Linked DNA regions of Caenorhabditis elegans. The protein of the gene in region 1 purifies or fractionates together with the protein of each later gene. This does not show direct contact. Each region holds a gene or a part of one and is shown in the gene's direction. Other genes may lie near its edges. The genes, in order: orc-2, orc-4 and orc-3.

What was found.
Region 2: the proteins of orc-2 (region 1) and orc-4 purify together in Caenorhabditis elegans (affinity purification with mass spectrometry, with the first as the bait; one study listed by BioGRID). This does not show direct contact.
Region 3: the proteins of orc-2 (region 1) and orc-3 purify together in Caenorhabditis elegans (affinity purification with mass spectrometry, with the first as the bait; one study listed by BioGRID). This does not show direct contact.

What each region holds. Positions count from the first base shown.
Region 1 is NC_003280.10:10,872,030-10,875,783, forward strand, and holds the start of orc-2 (Origin recognition complex subunit 2), read left to right. Parts: upstream 1-1,901; 5' UTR 1,902-1,904; coding exon 1,905-2,080; intron 2,081-2,714; coding exon 2,715-3,284; intron 3,285-3,339; coding exon 3,340-3,439; intron 3,440-3,754. Other genes in the region: cyn-4 (Peptidyl-prolyl cis-trans isomerase 4), read right to left, coding at 1-276, 323-443, 499-577; copz-1 (putative coatomer subunit zeta), read left to right, coding at 883-900, 964-1,035, 1,094-1,181, 1,232-1,457, 1,512-1,662.
Region 2 is NC_003281.10:10,644,158-10,647,911, forward strand, and holds the start of orc-4 (ORC (Origin Recognition Complex) subunit), read left to right. Parts: upstream 1-2,012; 5' UTR 2,013-2,013; coding exon 2,014-2,111; intron 2,112-2,192; coding exon 2,193-2,257; intron 2,258-2,659; exon of another isoform or gene 2,660-2,660; coding exon 2,661-3,133; intron 3,134-3,460; coding exon 3,461-3,629; intron 3,630-3,754. Other genes in the region: orc-1 (Origin recognition complex subunit 1), read left to right, coding at 1-73, 651-1,260, 1,539-1,802.
Region 3 is NC_003281.10:1,206,084-1,209,837, forward strand, and holds the start of orc-3 (ORC_WH_C domain-containing protein), read left to right. Parts: upstream 1-2,049; 5' UTR 2,050-2,056; coding exon 2,057-2,178; intron 2,179-2,298; coding exon 2,299-2,641; intron 2,642-3,103; coding exon 3,104-3,325; intron 3,326-3,754. Other genes in the region: Y119D3B.12 (LUC7 related splicing factor homolog), read left to right, coding at 770-778.

The sequences.
Region 1 (3,754 bases):
ATTATATCAGCTCTTGTGAACGGAACATCGGTTAGAAGATCCTTGAGATGATTTCTTTTTAAATTCAATTCTTGCACGGCTTCATGAGAATAGACGTTTCCGGAAGTAGCGATGGCCAGAATATGACTGTGGTCCGTGAATGTTCTGAATGTAACTGGGCATCGGAACTTTCCATCTTCTCCTTTATCGAATTTCAAGTGGATTAGATCCTTGGCAACCAACGGTTTTCCTGTACACGGGTTTTTGCCATGCTTCTTCAAGTAAGGAACGATAGCACTGAAAATTTTTTAATAAAAAGTAAAAAAAATAAACAGAAATTTACGTTAAATCGAAAATTTCTCCTGATCTTGCGCAAACTGGGTCTTCAAACGGTAGAAGTGACAGCGAGCAATGGTTGATGGGTAACCTTTTGAACTGTGCTCTTTGGAGTCTTGTTCCAGTATCTGAAATATGAAATTAAATCTTGTTTTTATTTATAACTCGTGTTTAAATAAAAACCATCTTTATGTCCTCCAATCGATTTCCATTCAGAAGTGGTCAGATAGAGTTTATCTTTCTGATGTTGCTTTTTTCCCATTTTATCTGAAAATAATACAAATAAATACTAGTTACATTTATGTAGTTATTAAGCTTAATTAAAATGCCGATTGTTAAAAATTGCGAAAACAAATCGGCTCGTAAATCTACACGAAAACCTAGGCCGGCGGCCGCCAGCCACCTCGGGTCTCGCCACGATCACATGTCGATTTACGCGCTCAATTTCATTGACTATTGACGTGGATTATCTTGTTTCTCAATGTTTTTCCTCCATTTAAATTGTTTTTCAGAGATAAATTTTTAATTTTATAGGTAATATTAGCAAAAGAGAGGATTTGCAATAAGATGGCAGACTTTGACACTGTAAGTTTCATTTGCAGCTTATTATTGAAGTTTTTTTTTTTTAACTAAAAAGCGAAATTTCAGAATCCAACTTCTCTGTACAGTATCAAAGGAATTGTGATTCTTGATCAGGATGGAAACCGTGTTCTTGCCAAGGTTTGTCGTTTATTTCACAATTACCATACAAAAAACTCGAAAAAATATCGATTTTCAGTACTACGACCGTACAACCTTTGGAACTGTCAAGGAGCAAAAAGCTTTCGAGAAAAGTCTCTTCTCGAAAACTTCCCGCAACACTTCAGGTTTGGCTGATTTTTTTTTGATGAAAACAATAAAAATTAAACATTTTAAGCCGATATCCTGCTTCTCGACGGAGTGACTTGCTTGTACCGCTCGAACGTTGATCTGTACTTCTACGTGCTCGGATCGACCCGCGAGAATGAGCTTTTCCTCGACGCAACTCTCACCTGTCTCTACGATGCTGTGTCTGTCGTTCTTCGCAAAAACGTCGAGAAGAAGGCTCTCATCGATTCCATGGACACTATCATGCTGATTATTGACGAAATCTGTGATGAAGGGTTATTTTTTTTTATTTCTAAAAGTATTCAACTGATTTAAAATAATTATTACAGAATTATCATGGAAACTGACGCCCAGGCTGTCGTCCAAAGAACCGCTCTCAAATCCGACGAAGTCTCATTCTCCGATCAATCCGTATCACAAATCGGCTTCTCGTTCATGAAATCTGCCAACGAGCAGTTCAAATGGTCTCTTCTCAAGTAAATGGAATTCTATAAATTATTTAATTTAAAATGTGATATTTATAATCTCTCCAATACTCTTTTGTGAATTAAAATGAATAAACCTCGGATAAAATGGTGTTTTCATTGTAAAAATTGTTGATTTTGTGCTGTTTTTGTTGAGTTTTTGGTTCGTTTTCTTAACGCCTAACTATATTTTCAGTTTAAAGCTTAACATTTCCTGCATGAATCTAAATATCTATTTTTCAATTTTAATTTCAGAAAATGCCACGGCCAAAAATTTTGAAACGAGCAACTGTCCAGCCCAGTGCCGCCGTTCCTGTGAAAAAATCGACTCCAGAAAAAGAAGGATCCAGACAGAAAAAGACGAATGGAAAAGAGAATGCTTCTAGAAATTTGCAATCAAATTTAGAAGAAGATTTGGAACAACTGGGCTTCGAGTATGTATCTATTATCCAGATGAATTCTTGAGCAAAACCGGGTCTCGACACGGCAATTTTTGTTGAAAACAAAACGGGGGTGCGTCTATAAGGAGTGCTGTATTATCACAATATGTGTTCTTAAAGGCGCACAGATCTATTCAGGCGGGTCTCTGCGCGGAAAACAGTATCGTAGTATTTTCTTTTTCTTTAAATTTTTCCGGTTTTTTAATAGAATAATAGAAGGAGAACTAAATACAAAAAACGGAGTAATTTCTTGAAAAATGAAAGTAAAAAACTACCATAAAATTTAAAAGTTTTTCGCGCGCCGAGACTCATCTGAATGATTCGGTGCGCCTTTAATAATGGTAGGCCAAAATTTCGTTGCGGAATTTCCATCGATTTTTCATTGTTTTTTGTTAAAATTTTTTTTAAATAAACAAAAAACTAGGATAATTAAAAGCGCATGAATTTTAACGAACAATCGATAAAAATTCCACAGTTTGAAACTACAGTACTCTTTAAAGGCGCACACCCGTTTGTAATTCAAAAAAAATTGTCGTGCCGAGACCGGGAATTTTGGCGCAAAAATTAGAAAATCTTCCATCTAGCTAAAAATAAGTACATTTTCGAAGCAAATCAATCATTTTTCCAGGGATGAAACTGTATCAATGGCTCAATCAGCAATCGAAAATTACTTTATGCAAGGAAAATCGGCGTCAGAACGAATGAATAATGCGAAATCCCGTCGTGGAAGACGTGCTGGAAATGGAAATACTGAAGAAATTGAGGAAGACGATGAGATCAGTAATGCTATCACTGATTTCACAAAATGTGATCTCCCTGGACTTCGAAATTATATTACCAAAAAAGATAACACGGAATTCGAAAAACGATTGGAGCATCTCGCGGATAATGATTTCGGAAAATGGAAGCTTTACCTAGCAGCTGGATTTAATATTCTTTTGCACGGTGTCGGTTCGAAGCGTGATGTTCTCACAGAATTTGAGAATGAGCTATCCGATTATACATATATGAGAGTGGATGCACGGAAAGATGGGCTCAATGTAAAAGTTCTTCTTGGAGCTATCAATGAGAATATGAAGCTGAATTGTAATGTGAAGAGAGGCCAATCTACGATTAGTTGGGCTCGATCTATTCGCAGAAAAATGAATAGCCAACAGTTGATTCTTATCATTGATAATATTGAAGCTCCTGATTGGAGGTGAGGGGAATTCGCTTTTATTTATGTATAAAAAATTAATTTTAATTAATTTCAGAAGTGATCAAGAAGCATTTTGCGAACTTCTTGAGAATCGGGATTCGGTGAAATTGATTGCTACAGTTGATCACATTTACTCGACGTTCATCTGGAATTCGGTGGGTATCTAAAATTTTAATTTTCGAAAAACAGAAAATTATATTTTTTTGTTATTTAAAATTATTTTTTTCTGTAGAAATTTATATATTTTAGTATGTTTTTTGTTCATAAATATAATAAAAATTTGACAGAGAGAAAAATAAGAGAAAATAAGAAAATCTTAAAAAAATCGAATTAATATTTAATCTGAAAACGGCAAAAAATCGAAAAAAAAACAATTTTGAAAAACAGTCAAATTTATGGCAAAAAAATTTTAAAAAAATCGCTACAGTTGATGGCATTTACTCGAATTATAACCCACTAAAAACATTAAA
Region 2 (3,754 bases), on another chromosome or scaffold:
GTCAGAAATTCGTGTACGTCGAGGTCAATGCGATGATCTTCAAAAAAACTGTATTCGTAGAGATTTACAACGGGTAAGGACGTCTCGGAAAAGTTGAAAATCGAACAATTTCCATCTAACAACTGCAGAACTCATTGGAAAATGCTCAAAATTTTGCGCGGAATCCTCCGAAATTCGAATTTTTCGAAAATTGTTGGCTAATTTCTGAGTTTTTTCATAAGTTAACGGGGAATTTTTTGTTTTAAAGCTTGGAAATGGATCAATTTGAGCATTTTTAGACAGTTTTCAGCTTAATCGCAAGTTTTTAAAGAAAATATTATGCTGAAAACTGTCAAAAAACTGCTTAAAAAGACGTATTTTCCTTGCTTTAAAAAAATTTCGACTTAAAATTATAAAAAAACGCAAAAAAGTAACTTTAAAATGTCGATAAAAAAACGAATTTCAGTGGGTTCTGCTAGTTTTTACTTTATGAAAATGATCTAAAGTAGTGAATTTCGTGAAACCTTGAACATTTTCCCGATAGGATGTTAGAAAAACCTCAAAAATCTGAAAATTTTGGGGTTTTTCTCTTCAAAACCCTAAAAAATCGGTTTTTTTGTAAAATAATCGTTTTTGTACGCAAAAATACTGAAATTTTCAATATTTTTCAGCATCCAAGAAGAGTACAACATCTCGAAAAAGCCTCAAAGAGCAAAAATCACAGCTACCGCTGCTCGCCAAGAGCTCAACTCAATTTTCAAGCGAGAAGATCCGAAAAGACCGCCAATTGTTGTGCTAATCGATGAACTGGATAGTCTGTGCAATAGAAAACAAGATGTTCTCTATGATATCTTTGAATGGACAGCACTTCCACAATCTAAAGTCACTATTATCGGTATTGCCAACACTTTGGACTTCCCGGAACGAATGCTTTGCCAACGGAATGCTAGTCGACTTGACAAACGTCGCCTCGTATTCCAGCCTTATCAACACGAGCAAATCGAGGAAATTGTGCGTGCGAGGCTCCAAGGATCCAATTTAATTGATCCGAAAGCTGTTGAACTTGTCGCCAAGAAGGTCGCTATGAACACTGGAGACTTACGGCAGGCTCTCGATTTTCTGTGTCGAGCGATTCGTGTTGCAGTAGAGAGAAAATCGGAAAAGCTCGAGTTGTCGCATGTGATTGCTGCTCAGAATGCGGTGCTGGAACCTCTTAAATATCGTCTTGTAAAGGGATTAAGGCTTCATCAATTCACATTGTTCCGGACAATTGAATCTATGGTTAAGGCTAATTTGAATTTGTAGAAAGAAAATCGCTTTTTAGAATTTTTACTAATTTTCGGAGCAAAGTTAGTGTGCAAAGAAAAAATTCCAAGTTTTTCAATAATTTCCACTCATTTCTCTATTTTATACAAAAAATCACCACATTTTTCCATACTTTTTTCCAGTTTTTTTAAATTTTCTCAGAAAAAACTAGTAAGGAAATCATTTAAAATTTGTGCAAAAAACCTTGAACTGTTCTGAAATTTGAACATTTCCTAAAATTGAATATTTTGTAGACCCGCGAACAAGAGGAGATCATCTTCGCAAACATCTACAAAAACTACTGCATAATCTGCTCAGAAGTCTCTGGAATCGGCCCGGCCACCGATAGCTTCGCCTACGGAATGCTCCTTCAACTGGCGAGCACTTCATTGATAAATCTGTCGAAAGGAGATCACGGAATGATGAATCGACGTGTGAAGCTGGGAATGACGTCGATGGAAGCTGAAAAGGCGATCAAAGCGGCGATTGAGAAGAATAAATCGATTTATTCAATTTAAATTTTATATTTATGTGTTATCCTCCAAGGACGTTCTATTTAGATTCTTTTTTGACTTATTTTGCATTAAAATTCCAATTAAAATAAAATATGGACTTTGAGTTTGCTGTGACTTTACCGGAGTCATTTCAATCACCAAGCAGTTTTCCACCTGTTTTTTATACTTTTTCTTCTAAATTTTTATCAAAATAATTTGTTAAACATTTCCCAGAATGCTATCACCTTCCGATCAAGAAATTGTAGCGGAAAATGCTCGGCGAGCTCTTGATTTGCTCGACGATCAGGTCTTCGGACTAACGGAACAAGAGAGGTGAGTGCCTGATGCAAGCGCGCCCCACTGGACTTGCTATTGAAAATTTGTGATTTTCCCAAATATTTTATCTATTTTCAGGCAAATCGAGAATATTGTCTATGATTTTCTGCAGTCGAAAGATGGAAAATGTGCTCTTCTTGAAGGTAAATTTATTGTCGCCTCAAAATCTGCTCTAACGACCGAAAAAGTTCGAAAAAAAGCGGAATCTTGGTAAATCTGGTATTTCTCCTAATTTATCTTTTGGCTTCAGCTCGAACATAGTTTTTAATAATTTAATATAGTTTAATGCATATTTCGGCTCATTTTCCGGCTTAAAATTTGCCTAAAATTTTAGATTTTTGCGAGAAATCTCTTAATTTTCGGTCTTTTGAGCCCATTATGACAGTGCGGCACGGTTTTTTGTTGATTTTTTAAAAATAAAGTTGTTAATTTGCTCATTTTCCTTATTGAAACGTCATCTAATGTACTCAAAATTATACAAAATTTCGCAGTTTTCTCCATTTAAATATTGAATTTTCAACAATTTTTTATCGATTTTCATTGCAGGAGAACGAAATTGCGGCCGAGAAAGCACACTTCGGAAGGTTCTCAACAAATATCACAAGGAATTACGAGTAATCAACGCAGGCTTCGTTGCCGCCGATCCAAATTATCAGCAGGAACTCGCAAAGGAGGATGACGAAGGATATTTTGTGTTTTTAGTGCGAGACGCCGACAAATTAATCACTCCACAGCAGCAAAAGTTCCTCTACACGATGGTTGACAAGGCGACACACTTCTCGTGGCTCGTCTTTTTCTCCGTTTCCCGACACGATTTCGCTCAGAACCTTCAGAAACAGGCGACGTCGAGAATTCCGAAAATTCAGGTGTCATTTGACGCGACACACGATTATGAGGAGTATTGTGCAGCGTTGACGCAGTTTTTGATTCCTGGCGGCTCAAAATGCGAAGAATCCGAGTGCTATAAGAGATTTGTGAAGAATTTGAACTTTCAGACATGGCTTAGGCCGGTTTTTGAGGTGAGATTTGGTGAAGAAGCATTCTTAAAAGCTGAAAATTTCACGAAAAAGCTGAAAAAACTCAAATTTTCCACCTTTTTTTTTGATTTTTTTCATCAAAAATTGTAGTTGTTTTTTTTTATTTTCTTTTTAGAAAGAAAATGTTATCCAATTTAATTCTCATAAAATGCGAGGGTATTTCATGATTTTATAGCCAATTTAGCATGAGATATCCGTACAATCTTACGATAATTAAATTGGATAACATTTTCATTCCAAAAATGAAAATAAAACAAATAAAATCATATTTTTCGGCTTTTCAACCCCCATTAAAGTCCATATTCTCAGACAAGTCACTACGTCGTTCTGAAACAATTGGCCGCGCAATTCCTGATGCTTTTCGGTTACTATTGTGACGTAGAAGACACGTGGAAACCCGAGGAAATCAGCAAACAGATTCGTAAAATTGTCGAGACGACTTCTCCCTCGTATAATGGAAAATTGTTGATTTTAAAAGGTAGAAATTCTGCTAAAACTTTGAAAAAGGCAGAAAAAACCCACGATTTTCTAATTTTGAAAACAAAAAATGAACAATTCAAGTTCACTTTTTGAAATTCCGCAAAGAATTAAAAATTCTGATTT
Region 3 (3,754 bases), on another chromosome or scaffold:
ATTCACGGGATTTTGGCTGAAAATCAGAATTTTCGGCCAAAATTCATGAAAAAAGTGGAATTTGGCTGAAAATCAGCGAAAAATGACATAAAAATTAGAATTTTGAGCCAAAAAATGGAATTTGATTTGAAAATTCGCGAAAAGTAACCGGAAATTCAGAATTTTCAGCCAAAATTCATGAAAAACATGGAGCCTAACTGAAAATTCGCGAAAAATGACCGCAAAACCAGAATTTTCAGTTAAAATTTATGAAAACCATGGAATTTGACTGAAAATTGCATAATTTTGAAGATTTACCTGCAAAAATCGATATTTTTTGCTTTTTTCCCTGAAAAATCGATAAAATACCGATTTTCAAGTGGAAATCGATAAATTTTGGGGATTTTTTTAGAAAAAGCGATAATCTTTTGATTTTTCACTGGAAAATCGATAAATTTCGAACAAGACTTTGTAAAAATCGAAAATTTTTGGCTTTTCTAACTGAAAAATCGATAATTTTCTAATTTTTAACTAAAAAATCACTGACTTTCTAATTTTTCCTGTAAAAAATCGATAAAAAACCCAAAATTTCTCTTCGAAAATCGATGTTTTTCGGCTTTTTCACTAAAATCTCAATAATTTTCAAATTTTTCGGGAAAAAATCTCGATTTTTGGCTGGAAAATTAACAATTTTCACATTTTTCCTGTAAAAAATCAATAAATTTCCACATTTTATACCAGAAAATCGATAAATTCCCGAAATTTCTCTTCGAAAATCGATAATTTTCAGCGCCACTAGACCGCCGCCGCCGCCGTCGTGCCGGGACCCAAAATTCTCCAAATTTTTGCACAATCTTCTCTTGTTAGCTCCCCACCAAAAGTACGTTTCCTTCAGCGATTCGCAGGTGAGTGGACCGCCCCTCTAATTACAGATTTTCAGATTTTTTGGGCCTGAAAATAGGCCGTTTTAAGCCCAATTTTCGCTCGGCCCCGCCCCCTTTTCAGGTTTCTGTATCCCCGGAATCTTGTTCGCCGATCTATGAAATTTTGTCAGTGTGTGTTGATCAGTTAGTTGACTATCATCGACCCAAAATTATCGATTTTTCGGGAAAAATTATTGATTTTTTTCAGATTTCTCTATCTACACCGAGCCGCCCACACGTTTTCACCTGCTAATTATCGATTTTTTTAAATTGATTTTTTATTATTTATCTCTCTGTAGAATCTTTTTGGTCTGTGAATTGGAATAAAATTGATTTTTCGAAAATAAAAAAAATAATTTTTTTTAGGTTTTTAAAAAGATTTTCGCGAAAAAATGAGGATTTTGAGAGAAAAATCGATTTTTCGACAAAATTTTTGAAATTTCAGTGGTTTTCATGTGAAAATTTTGAATTTACGCGAATTTTTTCAATATTTCGACGATTTTCGCTGGCAAAAACTTAAAATTTAAGGCATTTTTCGAAGTTTGAAAAAATTTGGCCCCAAAATCGATTTTTTGGCCAAATTTTTGGATTTTTAGCGGTTTTTTTGTGGAAAATTCGAAAAAATGCTTATTTTTGCGATATTCCAAGGTTTGAGGGCAAAAATTGGAAATTTGAGGCATTTTTTGATTTTTGGAGAAATTTGCCGCAAAAATCAATTTTTCGATGAAATTTTTGAATTTTTAGCGCTTTTTGTGTTAAAAATTCGAATTTATTGCATTTTTTCTGATATTTCGACGATTTTCGCGGGCGAAAATTGAAGATTTGAAGCATTTTTTCGATTTTTTAAGAAATTTGCCGCAAAAATCGATTTTTCAACGAAATTTTCCGGTTTTTTACAAGAAAAGGGGTTTAAAACGCAGTTCTCATAAAATTTTACGTCTTTTTTCAACAATTTTACCTGAAAAAACCCAAAATTCACACGGAAAACCTCTGTTTTTCGGTAAAATCGGTACAATTCACCTAAAAATGCAATAATGCAAGCGCGCTCCACTGTACAATTTCAGTTTTTTCTGGGCGCGGAATTCGAATTTGAATGGGTTTTTCGTCGATTTTCAGCCATTTCCCATCAATTTTTGCCAATTTTCAGTCAAAAAATGACGCCCGGCATCACTTTTCACCGCGGAAACAAGAAATTAAAGCTAGGAAAGGCGGAAATCAACGAGGCAATCGAGTTTCCCGAGGATTTTGAGTTTTGCTCAATGGAACAGGAGAGGAGGTGGGTTTTTAAACAAATTTCAACTGAAAATTGTTAATTTACACTATTAAGTTTGAATTTGAAGTAAACTGTAAACTGAAAAAAAACGTAATTTTTCACTAAAAACGGTTTTTTTTCCAGATTTTTCAAAAATTTCGTCGATGACGTCACGAGATTCGACGAAAAAATGGCTCACACCACGGCGAGCATCTACGACACGGCAACCAACGAAATCGCCACTTGGATCCTTAAAAAACCCGGAAAATCGTCGAAAACGAAGGGAATTTCGGTTTTTTCGCCGAATGAGCCGATTGGGACGTTAAAATGTGCTCTGGTTCAGTGTAATTTTACGGATATTTCCCGGTTGATTGGTGATTTTCGGCAGAAATTACTGGAAAAATCCACGGAAAATCTGGAAGTCAGGGATCACTTGGTGACGGAGAACGACGCGATTCACGAGATTATTGATCGGATTTTGGAGAAGGTAGCCGCGACCGCGACCGCAACGCATGACGAATTTCGATTTTTTTTTTGGTTTTGAACTTGCTCGACAACCAGGAAAAATCGATTTTTCCGGAAAAAAACACCAATTTCCAGACCGCAACGCACCTGAAATTCAAAAAAAAAAAGTCGAGAAAATCGATTTTCCGTCAACCGCGACGCGACCGCAACGCATCCAAATTTATTTAAAATTCAAAATTTCCGGAAAATTATCGATTTTTTAACGAAAAACACCAAATTTCCAAACCGCGACGCGACTGCTACGCACCTAAAATTCAGGAAAATTCAAATTTTCCCAAAAACTATCGATTTTTAAACGAAAAAAAGGCAAATTTCCGAACCGCGACGCGACCGCAACGCATCGAAATTTTTAAAAAATTCAAATTTTCCAGACCGCGACGCGACCGCAACGCACCATATTTTTAAAAAATTTCAAATTTTTCAGAACACGTCCTCAACAACATGCCACGTCATCATAATTCGTCAATTCGAATCTCTCCGTCCCAATTTCTTTGCGTCTCTCGTCTCTCTTCTCTTCTCAAATTCCACGTGTCGCCGTCTAATTCCACGTATCAAACTGATGACGTGTGTCTCGACGTCACCAGCGTTTTTTACGCAAAATTGCGGACTTGAGACGGCAAATTTGATGGATTTGACGCATTTTAGGGTGATTTTCGACTACTTTTCGGCCATGGCCTAACTTTTGCACAGTGTAGAAAAGTTAGGCCATCGCTTGAAAATTGAAGAATAAACTCGGAAAAGTTGGAGAAAATCAAGGAAAATTCAAATTTTTCGATTTTTTCGTGTAAAAACTGCAAAAATTTTGAATTCCCGCTGAAAAAATAGTGGTGGCCTAACTTTTTATCAACTGCAAAAGTTCGGCCACCAGTGAAAAATCGTCCAAATCGATGAAAATTATTTTAAAAATCTATAAAAATTTATTTTTTAAAAAATCTTAGCAGGTGGCCGAACTTTTCACGAAATGCAAAAGTTCGGCCACCTGCTAAAAACTCGATTTCTTACCGAATTTATCGATTTTGAAGATTTTTTACAGGTGGCCGAACTTTTGCAGGTGATGAAAAGTTCGGCCACCGCT